Linked DNA regions of Anolis sagrei. The main gene of each other region encodes a partner of the protein of the gene in region 2 in a complex. Links are inferred from orthologs where the notes say so. Each region holds a gene or a part of one and is shown on either strand. Other genes may lie near its edges.

Region 1 (3,754 bases), on a different chromosome or scaffold from region 2:
ACCTCCGGCTTCTTAGGCCTCAAGCTTTTGATGGGTTCCTAGCAAAGATTCAAAGATGGGAAACTAATAGGCATATTCCCTCAAGAGCAGGACGTGTGAAAAAGATCTTTGAGTCCACATGGATAGCAAGTTAAACCTGAGCCAACAATGTGATGCGGTGGCAAAAAAAGGCAACAAGATTTGGGCCTCTATAGTGTCTAGAATCCAGGGAAGTCATGCTCACCATGCTCTATTCTGCCTTGGTTAGACCACACCTGGAATATTGTGTCCCATTCTGGGCACCACAATTGAAGAATGATATTGACAAGATGGAATGTGTCCAGAGGAGGGCGACTCAAAGGATCATGGGTCTGGAGAACAAGCCCTATGAGGAGCAGCTCAAAGAGCTTGCCTAGGCTTTGAAATCTCCTCTGGAATACTTCCGTTGCTCCTACTCTACTGGAAAGCCAAGCAAATGACTGTAAAAACATGCAAGTTACCCATCCATATTTGGGTTGATCCACATCTGTCTCACCCTGTAGGCCTTGGTCACCACTCGGCGCTTCCTTTTGGGCTCGTCGTCGTCCTGGTCGCTGTTGGGCTCGTCCCCTTCGTCGATGTCGAAATCCGAATCCACTTCATCGTCACTGTCGGACTGATCACCCTTGTATTCGTCGTCACCGGATTCCTGCAGGGAACCCAAGAGTATGGCTAAGCAGGGATGGAGTTGGATTTATGTGAGGTTTCTGGGCAGCATTCTCTCCCGACGTTTCGCCCACACCTATGGCAGGCATCCTCAGAGGTTATGAGATCTGTTGGAAACTAGGCAGTGAGGGATGGAGTTCCTCTCAAACCTTGCTGATCCCCCATTAGATAATAATAATAATAATAATAATAATAATAATTTTACTTATTATCCGCCTATCCTCATGGCTCGAGGGGATTATGGCATAATTAAAACACATGAACTTCTAAAACTTCTATAATTTAATAATGTTGTAATATAATATATAATATTTTTATATATACTAAAACTTATGATATGGTACAATATAATATATAATATTAATAGTATAACATACTGGTATGTATTATATATATTGTGGTATCATCATATAGTACAATATATAAAATATATAAATAAAAATGTAATGTTCGTTTGTTCTATTCATTATTGTATACTTTAAGTTATGTTTTTGATTGTGAGATGCTTTAAGTCTCCGGGTGGAAGGATAAAGCAGGATATAAATAAATACATATATACACACATATATTAAAATGTATTTTTATTATATATATATATATATATATATAGTTGTAATGTTTTTGACTGTGAGCCGCTTTAAGTCTCCGTATGGAAAGATAAAGCGCGATATAAATATATATATATATATATATATTGTATATTTTAAGTTGTAATGTTTTTGACCGTGAGCTGCTTTAAGTCTCCGTATGGAAGGATAAAGTGCAATATAAATAAATAAATAAACACACACACACACATATCTATATATCTATATATAAATGTATTTCTATTTATTATTGTATACTTTAAGTTGTAATGTTTTTGATTGTGAGACGCTTTAAGTCTCCGTATGGAAGGATAAAGCGCGATATATATATATATATATATATATGTATTTCTATTAATTATTGTATATTTTAAGTTGTAATGTTTTTGATTGTGCGCCGCTTTAAGTCTCCATATGGAAGGATAAAGCGCAATATAAATAAATACATACATATATATATTAAAACGTATTTCTATTTATTATTGTATATTTTAAAGTTGTAATGTTTTTGACTGATAAAGCAGAATATAAATAAGATAAAGCGAGATATATATATATATATATATTATTGTATATTTTAAGTTGTAATGTTTTTGACTGTGAAACACTTTAAGTCTCCGTATGGAAGGATAAAGTGCGATATAAATAAATACATACATATATTAAAATGTATTTCTATTTATTATGGTATATTTTAAGTTGTAATATTTTTTTTATTGTGAGCCGCTTTAAGTCTTCGTATGGAAGAATAAAGCGCGATATAAATAAATAAATACATATACATATATATATATATTATTGTATATTTTGAGTTGTAATGTTTTTGACTGTGAGCTGCTTAAAGTCTCTGTATGGAAGGATAAAGCACGATATAAATAAATACATACATATATATTTAAATGTATTTCTATTTATTATTGTATATTTTAAGTTGTTTTATTTTTTTTAAATGCAAATTAAAATGTATTTCTACAAAATACATCTTAAAATAACACAGGACTGAGATTAAAATTCATGCTTCAAACTGGTTGGGTAGGCCAATTAAATAGATTTATTATTATTATTATTATTATAAGATGCACAATAGAAGCAAACAGGAGGATGAGATCAGCTGCAAGTTGCAGCCCCGCCCATTCTTTTCCTCTCAGCCAATCGCTGGGCTTGCTCAGAATAGAGCCCCGCCCACTTGGGTAAGCCACGCCCCCGAGGTTTAATCAGATCCAACTCGGTGGCCCCGCCCTTTCTTTTGAATTCTAACCAATCGCCGTGTCGCTAAGGCCTCATTTTGCATAGCCACGCCCCTTTGGCGATCTCCCTCAACTCTTACCTCAGTAAAGCCGCCATAAGTCGTCTGGTAAAACTCGTCCTCTTCTTCGGCTTCCAGCAGTCCCGAGAGCTTGTTGCCTGCCGTCCGCCGCGGCGCTCGGCCTCCCGCCAGCCCCGTCGGAGCGGAGGAGGAAGCCGACGCCATGTTGGCCGCCGCTGAGCAGCAAGCGAAGTTCGATGCGCTCGGAGCGCGGCTAGGCGCCCTGGGTCTAGGCTTGAGAAAGCGAGGGCAGGCCGGAGCAATCGATCGCCGAGTCCTAAAGGAAATCAAGAGCTGTGCTCTATGGATGGATGTAAACATATGTTTGCTGGTTGGTTTGTATTAGAAAGGCTCCTCCGTGGCTTGATGGATCTGGATAGAACTTGGCACACACATACTTCATAATAATAATAATAATAATAATAATAATAATTATTATTATTATTATTATTAATTATCCATCTTAAAATACTGGGCAATTAAATAATATATAGAAATAATAACATTGAAATGTTAATATTATATATATCTATATAAATACTCTTCAGTGTGCCCAAGAGGGAGTTTCTCATCCGGTCTCAGCCACTGACTGAGATGCTGGGTTTGAGCCTGCCACTTTTGGACTCTCGCTTGCTGAGGTGTGAGTATCTCTGTAGATCTTAGGAAGCTGTTTCTTGATTTAAGGCATTGGCATGCTGGCTGATATCCGAACACAGGATGGGCCACAGACGTCCATGACTTGGTCCTTTCATTGCTGGCTGCTACTTCCTATTTATTTATTTATGACATTTACTTACTTACTTACTTAGGCGATCCCTCGTTGGACGAGTAAGATGGTCCTCCATTATGGATTTCCTTGTGGGTCCGTATGTGGCTGTGGAGCCCTATTCTTGCTCTGCATCTTCTTCCGCAGTGAGGGCATTGGTTTCCAGGTGGAAGGCGGTCCCGGTCGGGGTTGGCTTGACGCGCCTTCCTCCTGGCACGTTTCTCTCTTTCACCCTCCACTCATGCCTCCTCAAATTCTGCAGCACTGCTGGTCACAGCTGACCTCCAGCTGGAGCGCTCAACGGCCAGGGCTTCCCAGTTCTCAGTGTCTATGCCAGAGTTTTTAAGGTTGGCTTTGAGGCCATCTTTCAATCTCTTTTCCTGTCCACCAACGTTCCGTTTTCCGTTCTTA
Region 2 (3,754 bases):
GTGATGTTGTGGGGCTAGGCCTCTTGTAAGCCGCACCGAGTCCTGCGGGAGATGGTAGCGGGGTATAAGAACAATAAATAATAATAATAAGTAGGTATGTTTTATGTCATAAACTTCGGCCCTCCAGATAGTTTGGACTTCAACTCTCACAATTCCAAAGAGCCAGGAACTGTGAGAGTTGACGTCCAAAACACCTGGAGGGTGTTTTAGTGTTTTGCTGCATTTGTTCATTTGAATTGTTTAGTGTTTATATATTAATTAGTATATACTATACAACAGGGTTTCTCAACCTTCCTAATGCCACGACCCCTTAATGGAGTTCCTCATGTTGTGGTGACCCCAAACCATAATTTTTTTTACTACTTCCTAACTGTAATTTTGCTACTGTTATTAATCGTCATGTAAATATCTGATTTGCAGGACATATTTTAATTCAATGGACCAAATTTGGCACAAATACTCAATGTGCCCAAATGTGAACACTGGTGGAGTTTGGGGTAAAAAGACCCTGACATTTGGGAGTTGTCGTTGCTGGGATTTATAGTTCACCTACAATCAAAGAGCATTCTAACCTCCATCAATGATCTAATCAAACCAAACTTGGCACACAGAACTCCCATGACCAACAGAAAATATTGGAAGCTTTTGGTGGGCATTGACCTTGAGTTTTGGAGTTGTAGTTCATCTACATCCAGAGAGAACTGTAGACTCAAACAATTAAGGCTCTGAACCAAACTTGGCACAAATACTCAATATGCCCAAATGTGAACACTGGTGGAGTTTGGAGGAACCAGACCCTGATATTTGGGAGTTGTTGTTGCTGGGATTTATAGTTCACCTACAATCAAAGAGCATTCTGAACCCTACCAACAATAGAATTGGGGCAAACTTCCCATAAAGAACCCTTATGACCAACAGAAAATACTGTGTTTTCTGATGGCCTTTGGTGACCCCTCTGACACCCCCTCACGACCCCTCCAGGGGTCCCGACCCGCAGGTTGAGAAACCCTGCTATACAAGGTATGTTTTATGTCTACCTCATAAACTTTGGCCCTCCAGATGTTTTGGACTTCAACTCTCACAATTCCAAAGAGCCAGGAACAGTGAAAGTTGAAGTCCAAAACACCTGGAGAGTCTTTTAGTATCTTCATAGTGTTTTGCTGCATTTGTTTATTTGAATTGTTTAGTGTTTATATATTCATTAGTATATACTATGCAAAAATTAGTATATACTAATTTTTTGAAATGTGTTTGATACGAGTGAAATAAAAGCTGTTGAGGTGGCTGGGATTTCTGGGAGTTGGAAGTCCCAAACCACCTGGAGGCCCAAAAGTGAGGGGACCACTCCTGGAGTGCGAGCCTGGGAAGAGAGGAGAACACGCGGGGCGCGCGCAGCAGCAGCAGCAACACCACATGGCCAGCCTGGACTTCCTTTCTCCCCAGCTGGGAGCGCGAGGCGCAGGCGCCACCTAGCGTTGCCTGCCTTCCCTCTCCCAGGCCCAGCCCTTCCAACGAGCGCCTCCACAAAATGGCGGCCGCCCGCCCGTCGCGTCACGTGACGCCCTTTGTGCCTTTCGGGGGGCCGAGAGCGAGCGAGGCCGGGAGGGCGACCCCGAGGGCGCGCGGAGGGGCCCGGCTGGCTCGCTGTCTCCCCGCTCCCTTCCTCCTCCTCCTCCTCAAGGCAGAGGGAGAGGGCTCGAGAGGGCGAGGGCGGCGGGAGGGGGGGAATGGCGGCCATTTTGTGCCTGCGCAGAGGCGGCGATGGCGGCGGGAGGGGTTTTTTTCCTTTCTCTCTCACGTACCGACTCCTCTTCCTTCTCCATGCCCGTGGGCATCTGCGGCACGGCCCGGTTGATGGAGGCATACTCGGCCAGGTCGGGCAAGTCCTCGCAGCGGAAGACGGGCAGCGGCTTAGACGCGTCCAGCGCCCGGGCCCGGAACGACAGTTTGCTCATGCTAGTCGGCGGCAGGGATGATGATGATGGCGGCGGCGGAGGAGGAGGAGGAGGAGGAGGCGGGCGGGGGAGGGGGGCTGGAGGCGGCGCTGCTGCTCCGCGCGGAGAGCCCGGCCCGGGCGACGCCGAGTGCTCCTCTCCTCCGCCGCCTCCTCCTCCGCCGCCGCCGCCCTCCTCCGCCTCCTCGCCGCTCCGGCTCCGCTCAGCGCGCCGCGGCCAACATGGCGGACATTAAACCTCCTCGACTGGCCGCCTCTTCCAGCCAACCCCAGCGCCACAGCCATTCCCACACTGCATCGCGCAAAGGGGCGCGCGCACGGCGCCGACAGGAGGGGGCGCGCGCAACAGGAGACCGCGCGGGCACGAGCGGCAGGCTGGCGGGAGGGAGAGAGAGAGAGAGCTTGGAAAGAAACAGGCGCGATGCTTCGCACCGCCTCACAAACACACTTTGGAAGGGGTCCCCCCCCCCTCTTTTTTTGACCTCTCGCCCAGAAGATTTTTGAAAAACCCGACGGTTATTTCGTCCTCTGTGACATCAAGCCATTCTATAGAATTGACGGGGGAACCTTGTGTTTGGACACCAGGCCTGAGCCAACTTCGGCCCTCTTTCCAGATTCAGACCAGCTATATACTCAGGGTTAAGGCACTACAGCAGGCCTGGGCAAACTTGGGCCCTCCAGGTGTTTTGGACTCCAACTCCCACCATTCCTGACAACCTCAGGCCCCCCCCTTTCCCCCTCAGCCTCCTATTTTAGAACAGGCCTAGGTAAACTTGGGCCCTCCAGGTGTTTTGGACTCCAACTCCCACCATTCCTAACAGCCTCAGGCCCTTTCCTTTCCCCTCTCAGCCGCTTAAGCCTCTTATTTTAGAACAGGTCTAGGTAAAGCAGCTGAGGGGGGAAAGGAAAGGGCCTGAGGCTGTTAGGAATGGTGGGAGTTGGAGTCCAAAACACCTGGAGGGCTCAAGTTCGCCCATGCCTGCTATAGACCCTGTCAAATATTCTTCCAAAGCCGCTTAAGCCAACTTCCGCCCTCTTTCCAGATTCAGACCGGCTATACTCCTTCCTCCCCCCCCCCCGTCTCTTATTTTAGAACAGGCCTGGGTAAACTTGGGCCCTCCAAGTGTTTTGGACTCCAACTCCCACCATTTCTAACAGCCTCAGGCCCCTCCTTTGGGAAAAGGAAGGGGCCTGAGGCTGTTGGGAATGGTGGGTGTTGAAGTCCAAAGCTGTTAGGAATGGTGGGAATTGAAGTCCAAAAGAAGGGGCCTAAGGCTGTTAGGAATGGTGGGAGTTGAAGTCCAAAGCTGTTAGGAATGGTGGGAGTTGGAAGTCCAAAAGGAAGGGGCCTGAGGCTGTCAGGAATGGTGAGAATTGAAGTCCAAAGCTGTTAGGAATGGTTGGAGTTGAAGTCCAAAAGAATGGGGTTGAGGCTGTTAGGAATGGTGGAAGTTGAAGTCCAAAAGGAAGGGGCCTGAGGCTGATAGGAATGGTGGGAGTTGAAGTCCAAAGCTGTTAGGAATGGTGGGAGTTGAAGTCCAAAGCTGTTAGGAATGGTGGGAGTTGAAGTCCAAAGCTGTTAGGAATGGTGGGAGTTGAAGTCCAAAAGAAGGGGCCTAAGGCTGTTAGGAATGGTGGGAGTTGAAGTCCAAAGCTGTTAGGAATGGTGGGAGTTGGAAGTCCAAAAGGAAGGGGCCTGAGGCTGTCAGGAATGGTGAGAATTGAAGTCCAAAGCTGTTAGGAATGGTTGGAGTTGAAGTCCAAAAGAATGGGGTTGAGGCTGTTAGGAATGGTGGAAGT

What was found. The genes of interacting proteins can lie anywhere in the genome.
Region 1: EPC1 (region 2) and VPS72 share a complex: the UniProt entries of both Homo sapiens proteins name them as parts of the nuA4-related complex. The link is inferred for Anolis sagrei from reciprocal best matches to the Homo sapiens genes EPC1 and VPS72.

What each region holds. Positions count from the first base shown.
Region 1 is NC_090032.1:6,555,516-6,559,269, reverse strand, and holds the start of VPS72 (vacuolar protein sorting-associated protein 72 homolog), read right to left. Parts: upstream 2,789-3,754; 5' UTR 2,743-2,788; coding exon 2,599-2,742; intron 668-2,598; coding exon 515-667; intron 39-514; coding exon 1-38. UniProt on the Homo sapiens protein: Deposition-and-exchange histone chaperone specific for H2AZ1, specifically chaperones H2AZ1 and deposits it into nucleosomes.
Region 2 is NC_090026.1:112,421,899-112,425,652, forward strand, and holds the start of EPC1 (enhancer of polycomb homolog 1), read right to left. Parts: upstream 2,272-3,754; 5' UTR 1,956-2,271; coding exon 1,803-1,955; intron 1-1,802. UniProt on the Homo sapiens protein: Component of the NuA4 histone acetyltransferase (HAT) complex, a multiprotein complex involved in transcriptional activation of select genes principally by acetylation of nucleosomal histones H4 and H2A.